Linked DNA regions of Styela clava. The main gene of each other region encodes a partner of the protein of the gene in region 2 in a complex. Links are inferred from orthologs where the notes say so. Each region holds a gene or a part of one and is shown on either strand. Other genes may lie near its edges.

Region 1 (7,614 bases), on a different chromosome or scaffold from region 2:
ATCTCCTCAATTCAACAACAGTCGTTAAAAATTGTATATCAATTAATCAAGAAGGCACATTTTTAAGATTTGACAAGGGCACCATTTTGCGTAGATAGACAACTCGGTTCGGCATTGCCTTTCCAATTCTTCACACCATAGGTGAGATGGTGAAATGAAATATGGACCACGGGACATCTACATGCAATGCCCTCGCAGTTTACCAGTAGACCACCACGTGGCGCTGTGTTACTTACTGGCATTTTTGGCAAACATATTTTCCAAGTCCCAATGCCTTTTCTCTGTTGTGACAAGGCCTGCATAAACTTCTGCCCTGATTTTTGACAAATCCAATATCAGCAAGAGTGGCATCACATAGCTGGCAAGTGAAGCATGCAGGATGCCAATTATTGTTCATTGCTTTGATTACTCTTCCGATGATAAATTCCTCTAAATGAAAAAGATCTGGTTTAAAGGCATCCATTTCGAAACATGTGACTATTTTAAATGGTAATTTATTAATAACAATTATGGGTTACTATCCAAAGTAATTCAAGTCTTGATACACGAAAAATTACAGAAATTTATTTGTGTTAGTGAGCAGCAAGATCCTCCCTTGCTTTATATGCATAGGGATCCATCAACCCAAAAGCATAAAAGAAGAATAAGTAACTAGTCCCGTAAAAACTCAATCGAAAGCACAAATCATGGGTAATATGACTATCAAAAGCAAGTTGTTATAAGGTTAAAAATATATTATGTTGACTTCTGCTATATAGTTCCATCAAATCGGTGACTTCTTCATTGATATTTTAATTGTCATAAACTTCTCATAAACTAATATTACAAGTGTTATTTAGTTCATTAGCGAGGGGCAATAATCCGAATAATATTGCGATTCCATAATTTATAAATAAAAAAATAAATAAATAGATAAAAAAACCTATGACGTCACAAAAACTTTTTATAAGGTTTGAATTCCGCAGTACACCATGGTAAAGTGAATAAGATTTACAAGAACTGGGTGGAATAGAACTTACCACATTTTCCACAGCATGGTGCAAATAACATGTGAAAATCATGTTCACAATACTTTACTCCATCATACTAAAAATAAAATAAGAGAAGAGTTAAAAATTATACCAATCAGATATTTATGATTGAATTCGGAGTCGGACGACTTGTGACTCGCGATTAAGAGTTTAGGTACTTCTATCCATCACCGCTTTTTATATAATCTTTACCTCATAAAATAATCCTTCAGGAAATTTGTCGAAACATTGGGCACAAACAAAGCAATCTTCATGATATATTTCACCATTAGAATTGACCATTTGTTCTTGTTCTGAAAATCCTCTTTCACAACGAATACACACGGCATTCGCAAGCTGTATGGACATCATCACGCTAAAAAATGAAAAAAATAGAAAACATTACAATTATGAAAACTACATTTCTTGCTGATAAATGAAACAAAAGATTTTTCCGCCTATAGAAAGATGATAAAGCCGATTGATGGTTAGCAATATTAGTGTTACAGCTAATGAATAAGAGTACACAGCTTCGAGACAAAATAGGAATATATAAAAAGAAAAAACTTCAATGTTACTGTCTCAATGTGACCATCTTTCAGGAGGGATCATTTTACAGCTCTATGGAAAAAACTGTCACAAATGACAATAATTAGATTTAAAAACAATTAATACCATGAACTACTAATCAGTACAAACACTTTAATAAGTTTAAATTTTTGTAACTAAGATACCCAGACAAAGTTCAAATCTAAACATTTTTATATTAGCTGATACTTATCGAGATGTTTGTTAAATTTGATAAAAAACTTTTACTATTGCCAAATAGTTGAATCTTTCAATTGATTTAGATTAGACCAATATAAATAACAGGTTATTTATACAATGTTGTCAAAGAGTAACGTATCGCAGTAATAAAGCAATAGTGGTCTCTGGGCAAATGAATCATTTCTAAGTAACAGCTACTATTCCCTCCTTTACACCTCAGCTATCCAATTCACACCCTATGAATAAGCATCGGTTTCTAGCATCATTGAATTCCCTTTATATCTTCGCAAAAATCAGTTATATAACACAATTTGTTCTCAAAAGTATGCTAAAAGTATCATTCTCTAATTTTAATTTTAAATTTCATATTATGTTCATGATTAACACAATCATACTAATCCATATTACATCTTGTAGCACGAGTACCGCCTGTCATTTCGAAAAACGATATCAGTTAATTAAAAATTTGTTTTACGTCGGCTAAACATTGGCGTTGGTGGTTCTTCAGGCCTGAACGCAAACATGAACCAGCTTTGTAGCCATATCATTCACACCCGAACTCCATACAAGGAACGGAAAAACCTATCAAAACAAGCTACAATTCGACCGTTACGTATCACCAGGCGCCTATTGCTATAACGGCCTAATATATCGACATATACAATCGTGTTATAGATTACTAATCATAAACTCCCTTTTAATAATAAATTGATAAATTGTCACGAATGCGCCGAATCAAGACGATCGACGTATTTCCTGTCATATATTCCTAGACAAATCGCTCGACAGAAAACATATCAAAATAAATGCAAAATTGCGAGTAACAAAATAAACACCTTCCTTCTCCATTTACATGTGGATCCCTTGGCGACTCTTTCCTTCTCTGAAACAAATTGGACTCGTTTATTTCAAGCGTCATATTACGCGACTTCCCTTCCAAACTTGCCATTGGTTGAGGATTTGTTTTCACCGTCTCACTATGACCTCATACACCGACAGACGATGCCACAAAAAGTATTTATTATACAATTTTAACAGAGCGCCCTGCACGGGAAAAAACAACGGCTGCTAACTTTTTGATCGAGTATGCGCTTACAAGAGCTTCAAGAGGCCACACCTTCCCCGCTTTGAGCGTCGAGTAAATAAAAGAATTCGATGTTCCGTATCGTGGAATTTCGAAAGTCGAACGACGATATTGGGTTTGCGAAATAAAACTATCGTCGTAAATGTTTGCCTATAGGCGACAAGCGTCGGACCGGGATAACACCGACCTATCGCTTCAAACATGAACTAGGACAATAAAACTACGGTACGTTGTAACTAGATATCGGTATCTGAAATCTTTCTCGCCCAAAGCGCTTCATTAATTTTTAACTTATTTAATTCAGTTAAACATACCTTATCTCCCAATAAAACACTAGGCCTTTCGATCACTCGACAAAACGAAGCATTTTTAAGAAGCCAAATATGGCAGTTGACTCGCAGACAACGTAATAATTCACTTAATTAATACGTTATCGAAAACTATTAGACAGCTAGAAGAACTATTGCAGCGACATTTCGATTCAGAAATCGTAATATTGATATTCTGTAACAATCGCGCATGAGTTCGCGGCTTAAAGACAACTTTACAAAATTAGAGTTATTCAGATTCAATGCCGTGTCAACACGGGAGTGGGCTGTTTAAAAGGTGCTTTCAAGGGTGAGGATTTTGTGTGTGCGACGAAAGATATACAAAAGCAAAACATCGCCGATCATGTCTATAATTTTGCGTCGAGGTTTATCCGCATCACAACATATCAACTAATAACCGTTATTTCGTTATGCCGGTTCAATGTCGCATAGGAGTATCATTTTGGAAGTTTCACTGTTTTGGTATTATTATATTGAGTTATTATTAACTACAAATATGTCGTCAGGATTACTAATAAAGTCGATTGAGCAGGTGTAAGTCCTCTGCGTAAAACATAGCGTATATATATACGTATATACCGGCTGTATATAATTTCCAATATCGATATAAAATGAGCAATGTCAGCAAGAATAATAAATATAAAGAAACAAGTTTTTTTTTAAACTAGATGAAATTAAATGTTACTGGTGAATTTAAGAGTTTACCAAGGTCATAAGGTCACAAAACAAAATCTTGCTCAAAAGGTATAAGTTAAGTTTTATATTTTTCTTTTCCATTATTATCTGAAAGTTATTTATTTGCAAAGAAATGATATTGTAGTAACATAAAAAAAAGGGTTAATATATTATATTGAATTGATGATTTAACAGATAATGTTGCTGTCGTATCATTTAATGTCTGGTGTTGGTTTTCTTTTTATTGTAATTTTTTCCTATTCTTACAATATGTAAAAACTTAATTTGTGGTCTTCATGGATGGAAAAGAGCTACACAGCATGCTAATTTTTTGGTGGAATAAAAATTAACTTCATCATGGGAATTATTCGACAACTATATACTTGGAATCAACTCTACACCTTTAATGATATTTTGGATTGAATGGGAACTTATGAATTGTTTCCATTTTTTCAATTTTTCAAAAAATTAGTTTGAGCAATCATCTTGTAGAAGTCATTATTGGAATTTTTACAATTTTATAAGTAATCCAATGATGTTTGGGATATTTTCTCAAAGATTACACTAGTAAAACCTCAGAGCCTATTTTATTGAATGAGTCAACACACATGACTTGTGTAGCCTAAATTACAGCCACTGTATCTTTGGGTAACTAGGAAAAACTAAAAAATGACTCTGATCTGACTCGTATCTTTGTTCAGACTGAAGATTCTAGTGATAAAAGTAAGCCTTATAATGTGCCAATTTTCTTCATATCAAATATTTGTTCATGACAACATATGTTTTAGATTACATTTAGTAACTAAATAACAGGTCTACTAATGAAGTGCGAATCTCCCACTCGCCGGCTAGATCATATGGTTGGGGTTGATCATACGAAGACCCCCCCCCAGATTTGGGGGAGGATCTTCATATAATCTTGATAATAAATTTATCTAACATGACTATTATATACCAAATTCAATTCTCCATCACCAATACTCTGTCTTCGTAATTTAGAAACAATATGCCCCATTTTTGAGACATTATAATCTAAAACCTTATTCCAGACTAGTCATAATTGATATTCATTCGATTTGGCATTTGATTTATTCATTGTAGTTTTGGTAATTGGCCCAACAATTCATTAGATGTCGTATCTCCCACTGCAAATATCGAATAGGAATAGATTTGAAAGCCTATTATATTGAGCAGTTTTTTTAGTAGAAAGGGTACTTAGGTAACACAGAGAAAAAATCGATGATTTAGCATAAACATACCCAGCTCTTCCAGATTACGGTATAGCAGTAAAGATTACCTGAATCGACAATCTTGGTCTTAGCCAAAATGCTCAAGGTCTTTTTAAAGTGGCCAGTTCAATAAATAATCGGTGTCTCTAGTAAGATACAATTTCTATATTTGACTCCATCCTAACTTAAGTACTATAACAAAATTGGTCTTATTGGTAGCGGTTCATTAATGAAATAGTATGATTCAAAATTTGATAAACAGTCAAAGTTTGCTGCCCCACGCTGAAATACCCTTCACTTTAAGAGCAAAATTATGGTATGAAAAAACAACTGACAGACTGATGAAGTGATGCCTAAACCCCAAAAACATAAAATAAGGTTCTGCTGTGTTAATGAAATAAGTAAAAAATAGTTTTAATACTAACGAAAACAGATATTTAAAAGAAAAAACTCACCAAATTTCAACTTGAAAATTAGCCTGAGGAATCTTCCAGATGCTGCTCAATCACCAACACGAGCACCACCCAAATTCTAAATAATAAAGTCGTGCGTTAGGCAAAATAATAGCCGCGAGATGTCGTGGTGGGCATTTTTTCACACATCCACATTAATATTTAGGTAAAAATAAGGGAGGGAGACGTAACCGGTCAGCGTATACGTGAACAACCTACCCCAGTACTACGATGGCAAAAAGTGCAGCAACCTCTCGAACAGTGCTTAACACGATCCTCAGAGAGCCGCGCCGATGGGCGGCATAGCTTTACATATCAACATTAATTCCAAACGTTAAAATAAAAGTTGACAAAATTCACAATGTGCATAAGGAAAACGTGTAGTTCTGATAGGACGAAAAAGGATCGTAAGGCCACTTGTTGGGACCGAAAAGCTCTCGTATCGCTGTCCGGCTACGTTCAGCTTTTATCTGGTGATGTAATATTCACAAACTTACAACTGGGCACCTTCATATTATGAAAGAATTATTTGATCTCCATCCAACAGGAAAATCCTATAGTCGTTTCGGGTATATTTCGACACCAACAGCGATGCGTATAAATATACCGGCTAATTTATAATGCACATTACGCTACGTTTTCATTGTTAGTTGCGAATGAAATCTCTGTAGGATCTGATACACCAGGTTTCAATTTTTGCATATATGCTATTTTCATATGCCGTTCGGCCATGCCTAAACCATCACCATTATCACAACCTCGATCAGCTTTTGACGTACGGTGAAAGCGTTTTAGTCAGCTGACTGATAAACTAACTAACTATAACATCATAAGAGTAAATTTCTACTGAATGTCAAGCGAAAATATTTGTCCATTTCTAAGCTGAATGTTTAAATATCCTGTAAAGAAAATTATACTAGCAAATCAAGCAATATATTTTCATCACACTTAATTTTAAGCAATTGATTACAATTCAAATGATAAAAACAAACCAGAAGAAAACGTACAATGCTGAAACATGCGGGATTTGTGTATGTGGAAGTTTCACAGGTGAATTAGCAACATAGTGGCAAGTACCTATAACGGCAATTTAAGAAAAGAAAAAAAACACTGGTGTACCAATTAGCCAAAAAACAAAAACTGAAGAAACAAGGCAATTGTCAGAACACTTTTCAAGAGGGTGAAGACGTAAAATTGTAATTCAATGAGGCAAACATTTTGAAAATGAACACTTATCTGGCAATCATTTTGACACGCCACTGGTTGACATTGGTTATGAATAACCTACCAATTTAGGACCTGATAAATGAAGTACTTAACAGTATTTTATGGTAAAAACAGTGATAATTTCGGACACAGGTGAAAGGATTTGTATGTGAACACGAACATAGATGAAAACAGTGGACAACAATAATAAATGAGACAATAATGAATTCCGTTTAAAAGTGCTTAGTAAAATACATAAAAAAAATGATGTTATCATAATGAAGGTGACAACATGTTATTCAAGCACCACAATTATAATTATAAATAGGTAGTGACAACACATAATGCAATTAAAAGCAAAAAAGCAGTTGAATCTAGGATACATGAATAAAATAAAAAAGTTCAACTATTTAAATTTAACAATGAGGGTAAGAATATACATCACACAAGAGCTTGGAAATGAAATGACAATAATCGAAAGAAATTTATTATAGAAATTAGTTATTAATATTCTAATCAACTAATCAATTTATTTAGATTATTGGGAATTAACCATTAAGACTATCAGGGCTAGGTTTTAGCAAAACCTATCTGGTGATGATTTGTATCAGAGAAAACAGGAGTAAATTTGATTATGAATTGATTCACATTAAAGCAGTGGTTTTCAACTTTTTATGGTGGCACGGAACCCCAATGAAACAACCCAGAGGCTCGCAGAACCCCTGTACTATTATCCAACTATCTTTTATTGCCTGAATTGCATAAATATAAATATATTTAAAAGCAAACCTGATATTGGCAAAACAAAATGACTTACAAGTTGTAGCAAGTTTATCCAGAGTAGAAACCTAATGTTCAAAC
Region 2 (6,963 bases):
ACCTGCAAGCCAAATATTGAGTTTCTGACAAAAAGTTTTGATTCTTTAATCTTTATCATGTTTAATTATAATGAATGTACTCATTTCATCATGTATTTTATATATCTACATCGAATGCTCGTATTTTAGTTATCTTTTGTGGAGTACTGCATGATATTTTGTTTCGGAGTTTTTTGAATTTGGGGATGGTCATTGCTCTGCTGAGACTCTTATCAGCAGCGAGTGGAAGCTGGTGATAATTGTTCAACAAATGTTCTCAATACATAATTATATTAGAACGAATGAATCACTAATTTTAAGCAATATTTCGAAGCAAAACTTAGTGTTCTGTTGGTAACGCGTTGGCATTGCAATCAACTTTTTTTAATAAAATAAAATTTCACCTGTATTTATTGGTACTTGAAAAAGAGTTTTTCATTTTTATTTATTAACATATGCAGCAGAAAATGCAACCTCTTGTGTTTCTGTATTACGGTGTATTACAAAATCTGATTCAAGAATCATGATTAAATGAATAAATATATAAAATTTTATTGAATATAAAAGTAGCGGATGGTTTGCATCAATAAATCGACAGAGTTGCAAGATGTAAATGTAAGCATTCCTATGCGCAACGTTGCATGGATTAGACTCAGATAAGCATGTTGATAAGGGATATAAGCCTATTAGTTACAGCAAGATGGGTTCAAAAAGTTAGTATATTTTAAACTGTGAACTCATGCAGGCTAATTAAAGAATTTCTGCTTCGTGAAATACGCCCAAAGTGAGCTGTGAATGGAAGAGGCATACACGAACTGATCATTCGAAAAATGTCTTTTGTCGACTTGTGTGGTCAAATATATCCGGTAGTGCAAGCGTTCCTAGCATCCTACATTGATACCGTTTCCAATTTAGACTCATCGTTTTAATGGCTGTAATGAACAATTTGAAAGCGCAATTTTGCGGGAATATTCGCACGAAATGTGACATGGTTATTTTATATTGTAAGTAAACCACATTGGTTTCGCACATTCTTTGTACATAAGCAGATCAATAAAAATAATCAAAATTAGAGCCTAGAAAGGAAAAGTACTAGATTATATATCATACAATAATAGCATGCTTCTGCTTCAGCTCTTCAATGACCTACATATAAAATCCCACAGGACCCGGCATTTAAACGCGCAAATACAGTTGCTGATGGTGATTTAAAACCAGAGGCGTTGTGAGATGGCATTATAATTATCACTAACTGCATCATGCAATATTGTATTTTTATATTGCAATTCCATATTTTGCATTACGTAGATACAAAATATCTGAAACTAACAGTGGATAATTAATTTCATAGTTGGTCAATTTAAATTACCTTGCGCCATCCATAACGACGCATGAAACCAAGTAGACAAACTATGAAATATTTGAATAGAACGGAGCGTAATCACGAAAAGAGATCTAAATAACGATTTTGTTCAAATCAAAACATAACTGAATCCTATTTCCCAACACACCCAATGGTGCCATACTGTCGGTGATCATTTTTTGTAAATCCAATCGAAAGCGCAAGCTGATTTTCACATTTATGGAGAACGTTACAGAATGATTTCAGTATACCCTGTGTGATGGTTTTCATTTGCCAAGTGTGAGTTAGTGGGTGGCCGATCAAATTATTTTTTGTTCGGCAGTTCCGGTTCATGTCCTGGTCGGTTTGCATTGTTACATATGCTAGAGCAAGACTATAGAAATGAAATTCTAACATTTTCTATTTCAATCATCAAATTGTCACCGTATTTGTGTTATGCGAAGCGGGAGTCGGGTTTGAAGTATATAATCGAAATTATTTGCCGTATCGACAGGGAAGTCAAAGATATACTCCTGAAAGAAAACTCCTTCCACGAATCTAAAACCGTGAGAAAATGCCATTACGTCCATTTGTTGTGAAAATTGCATTTACCTCCTGGAATTTATTACTGCAATCGCTAATGATTTAGAAACTAAGATTGAAAATTTTAAAGAATCCACCGACAATAGAATAGATGGCTCTTTTACAAGACAAACCGTATAAATTAAATTAAAAAATACCAATCATATTTCAACATATGTGACTATTTTGATACAACTTTGATGCAGATAGGCGTTCAAAAATAGAAAAAATCATAAAACACAAGAGCCAAATATTTACATGACGTTTGTTTTTTACTTAAGACTTCAAGCGTTACCGAAACACGAATCTCAATCCCGCACAAAGTTCGGGTGGTCGGTCACTCGCACAAAATATAACCCCGTGACCGATCATAGGTTACATTTTATAACTGTTTGAACAACAGCTTTGATCATATACACACATTAAACAAGGTCGTCGTCCGAGACTGAAGACTTTATGTCCAGGGTCATGTCATGTATGTTGTTATATCATTTGTTTGTTTATATACGTAATGCTAGAAATCGTCAAAGTTTAAAAATAAAACATACGAGCGAAGAAATTCTTGGTTGCACTGTTCAATGAACGGACACATAGGTAAAGCTGAAATCCAACATGATTTGATTTGTAATCCTTTATAGACACAATACATCAGAGGCCATTGCCCATAGAGTACGAGATCCAAAGGCACTTGAAATCGGCTAACATTTGTTATCGCAAATGCAATTTAGGAACCTGAATCCAAATGTGTTGAAAGGGTTCTTATATGGGAAGTCAAAGTCCAGTCTTTTGTAATAGAGATTGCAGCCGATTAAATTAAATTACTCAGAACAGTCTACTCACCAAATTCAAGTCTTGTGTGGCGAGGCATGTGGCAATTGCCAATGTGGCAAAAACGCCAAGCCATAACATATCCATTTCGGATAAATCCTCTTGGTAATTGCTTCTTAGATTTCTCTTATATCCTTATTGTTGATTATAAAAAGGTCTATCGTAAGCAGATTTCTCTTAATCACAAAACATACAAGCGAACTTTATATTTTGAGTCCCTCTTGGCGATACTCCTAACTTAATTACGTTATCTGGTTATTTAAAACTAAATATATAATATAAAATTCAAGCTGACAAAATTGAGTCTTCGACTAGCGTTTATATCGTGTTTTACTCCCGAGAACGCCCGGAGAATTATCTTCCATTCGCCGGGATTTATGGTAGTGTGCTTGCTGCGATGTAACCAACACAGGACTGTGTAAATCAAATTAAAGATAACATCGTTAAGCGATCTTAATTAAGCCTTAACCGTTGAGGAACTCGCCAATTAATTTCGGAAAATGTCTGGGAATTAGTGCCGATGGATTTATAAAACACTACGCTACTTTTAGCCTCAAACTACGAAACCTATCCCAACTGAAAATTCACTAAAGCAGAACTCTAGCTTATTTGTAGTGAAATGAATAGCTTGGAAGAAGAATATTTTTGTACGGCGTTACAACGGGAATTGTACTTTGCAACTTGGTCGACTATGCTAAAGTTACAGCTGATGAGATAATAGCGAAGGCTATTTTGGAGCGCTGACTCATACTCTACGAATTTAGTCTGTCGTGTTGCACAAGAGCTACATTTCTACTGAACTGGCTTCGAGAATTGCCACAAAAGCACCATGTTGGCGACCGTATTACTAGCTTTATACAATAGAGGTCAACAACGTACTAATCCTGCTTTAACAATGTCGTAAACTGCCACCGTCGACGACAACTCACGAAGTGTGACCAAATATACGGTGCCAAGCATTTTCTTCGTCGCGTCGCCGTTTTTTCTTCTTCGAGGCGCGGCTACGTTAACCTGGTTTATTTAGTCGCGTTTGCCCCGTCGTTTATATTTGCAATGTAAACGTCCGATGAGAACGTACTTTATCGTCCGCCGGTAACAGATCAGACGGTACGTTTCCGTTCCGCAACTCCGTCGCCGCCGTCTTATGAATAGGCTGAGATTTAGCTCCCTGATGGGCGACGGCGTGTACTGGGTCAATATAAATCCCATTTCGTCCGACCTTGAAATATCTAGTATATTGCGATTATACTACTGTTATTTAAAGAAGAATTTATGAGAAATTCTATACTTTTCCGGGATGAACCACAAATAAGTAAGAGTTTTCAAACAAAATTTGAAAATATTTGAATGTGATAACTGTCAAAATTGCTTCGTTAATTATTTTTAAAAAAAAATGTCCATTCGTAGAGTCTTTACCCACATCTGGACAAAGATAGTTCAAGACTGATTATTCTTAAATTAGCTGGTAAATATCAGAGGTAGTTACCAATTCTCCACGCAGATCAAAATACAAATAATTGATTCTTTTCAGGCGATAAGCTATATTCATTCACCACATTATTCGAATGCAATAATTTTCATGAAATTAACCAAAAACGAGATTTTACAAACCATGACACTTGGTATTTTTGCTAGCTTAATCAGTACATCGAGTTTGATAGAAAATCCACATAATTTGGCACTGATGTACGATTGAGGCAGCCAATTGTCGGTAAAAATGAATGGAAAGTTTCAGTATATATATATATATATATATATATATACTTGAAGCAGATCTATAAGGAAGCGTAAAGTGACCTAAAACGAAATATAGTTAGGACAATCGCTTGTATTACTGCTTTAGTTATAACAATTGTTGTAGAGTCTAATGCAATTATTTGTGTAAAAGTTCGTCTCAAATGTATCTGAATCTGAACTTTGAAACCGAAATTAATCATCGCAGTATCCCATCATATCTTGCTCGCCTATTTTATGCTCAGTTGTCTCGAATGTAAGTGTATCTTTGCTCTAAATGAATCATCATAGTTTACCATCATATATAAAACCTTGTGTGTATAAGATGATATGGCTAACAAGCGGGTCTTTCTATGACATTTGGCTGACGTTAGGCTGTCGTATTGAAGCTCTGAGGATAAAAAATAAAATCGAAAATGTTTAATTATTTCAACTTCAATATTGTACACCAGTGGTTCCCAAACTTCTTTGTACTGTGACGCCCTCCGAAAAATATACTTATGTTGCGACTCCCCATGAAAACGTCATATGACCTTTCAATAAAAGAACTTTTTTGCAATGAGTTTCATTTAAACCAGGGGTGGCCAACCTATGGCGCATGCGCCAAACGTGGCGCATTGCATGATTAGAGGTGGCGCATTGCATCTTTAACCCTTTTCATGCCAAAATTGTTAATTGCACTTGGCTTCTCCACGCCAAGCCGTTTTTTGCGATTTACATGGTGACTTTTGATTGTACCTAAAATCTATTCTCCTTACTCCACGCCGCCCACTTACGGCTTGTTGGAATTAGAAACAACAGGCGATTATCGACGTTAGCTTTTGGACGGACTTTATGACATTCATTCTAGACTTTCAGCAAAAGTTAGTAAAATTTACTATTTTTTCCCTACTGAAGTAAAAAGTTCAGAACTTCTGGAAAAATAGAAAATCGTCATTTATCAGCTTGAAACATAGATTTTCCATTGCCCAGACTCCCCAAATATCTCCCAATAACCATTGAACAACCAGTTGAATTGCCCAAGCCAAAAAAATTTATTATAAATCAACCCACAACATGCTGAAAATGACCCCTAAATACCACCTTTTTCATCCAAACTTCAAATGACCGTTGTCAACAAAAGCGAAGCGTAAAATCGCTTGCTGTGACGCAAGTACTAATCTCGAAGAAGCCTGGAGTAAAATCACGCGACGCTAGGCCAAAAAGCTTCTTAATCGTATCTTTTTCTCTTCGTCGTTAAAAACAGATTTATTGCGTAATGCTCATAAGACAGAATGCGTTTTTCTCCTACTTTCAAAAAGGCTGTAGTTTTTACTTGAAGCATGGCGTCACAATGGTTCCTTGTTTCGTAATCAATCGTAATCTGTTTATCGTAAATTGCTCGAATTTTTGCGTTTGCGTTTTATTATACTTCCTTGCTTAATTTCTATTCATGTGAAGTTGTAAAAACTACATATATGTGTGTATATATGTATGTGTATTATAAATTAATATAATTTCAACAAGAAGTGGACATTAGGCGTGGGAATACAAGAGAATGAAGAGATTTACGGCGCATCTGAAACATTATGTTTAAAACGTGGCGCATGGTATGTGAAAGGTTGACCACCCCTGATTTAAACGGACAAGAAAAACTTGACGAAAGTCAGTAAAATCTCATTTAATGTGCATGTACTTGCGTCTTTTTACAATTGTTATATGTTATTGAACCTTGGGGTGAATTGTGACAGCTGCACACATTTTTCCAAAATTTACTCAAAATCGATATTTTTTCTTTATTACGCCATGGTAGAAAAGCTTGTTTCACATAAATACGAAGAAGGGGTGAGAGTACGCAACCAAGGAAAGATAATCTTTATCCAAAAAATTCCAAAAACTCGGTAAATTTTAGGAAATATAATTATTTTTTATATCGATTCCGTTTAACAAAATGGCAACGAAAAGCCGGAATGTGTTGTTTGTAGCAAGGATTTGGCCAGTGAAACCATGTTACCTAACAAAAACGAAGGAGCCTTTTTACTCGGAACTTCAACGATACTAAGTACAAGTAGCTTCCATCATACTTGCGAAAATTCTCGACTTTTCTCGTGCAGTATCATTTTTACGCTTGTACATTTATTTCTGCAGTGCAATTTTATAATTAGACTTTTGCTACGCACCGCAAAACAGGTATAATTCCGCAAGAGAAGAAAGTTTTACGACCGCCGAGCAAAATTGTAACGACGCACTTTGAAAACCACGGTTGTACACGAACCTATGTCAGAAGTAGTATCGTTCGAAATGATATCACAGCGGGATCTTTCGCTACTGGATCGTGTTATCGTGACTTATTTGCATTCTCACGCGATCGGAGTTTATTTTTTATCTTTGCATGTGTATGATACTGAGCGTACATGAAATACAAACATGAATATTTGCCAGTTAGTACTCCAGCTGAGTCAATCATCAATATTTTAGGTTTTCCAAACAGAAGACTTTAACTAGGCCTTCGACACTAA

The links.
Region 1: basement membrane-specific heparan sulfate proteoglycan core protein-like (region 2) and LIM and senescent cell antigen-like-containing domain protein 1 share a complex: the UniProt entries of both Caenorhabditis elegans proteins name them as parts of the integrin containing attachment complex. The link is inferred for Styela clava from reciprocal best matches to the Caenorhabditis elegans genes unc-52 and unc-97.

The regions. Positions count from the first base shown.
Region 1 is NC_135256.1:11,039,478-11,047,091, forward strand, and holds the start of LIM and senescent cell antigen-like-containing domain protein 1, read right to left. Parts: upstream 3,022-7,614; 5' UTR 2,728-3,021; coding exon 2,615-2,727; intron 1,387-2,614; coding exon 1,224-1,386; intron 1,087-1,223; coding exon 1,020-1,086; intron 430-1,019; coding exon 237-429; intron 1-236. UniProt on the Caenorhabditis elegans protein: Component of an integrin containing attachment complex, which is required for muscle development and maintenance. Probably function in adherens junction.
Region 2 is NC_135251.1:19,815,024-19,821,986, reverse strand, and holds the start of basement membrane-specific heparan sulfate proteoglycan core protein-like, read right to left. Parts: upstream 3,011-6,963; 5' UTR 2,819-3,010; coding exon 2,744-2,818; intron 1-2,743. UniProt on the Caenorhabditis elegans protein: Component of an integrin containing attachment complex, which is required for muscle development and maintenance. Probable structural role in myofilament assembly and/or attachment of the myofilament lattice to the cell membrane.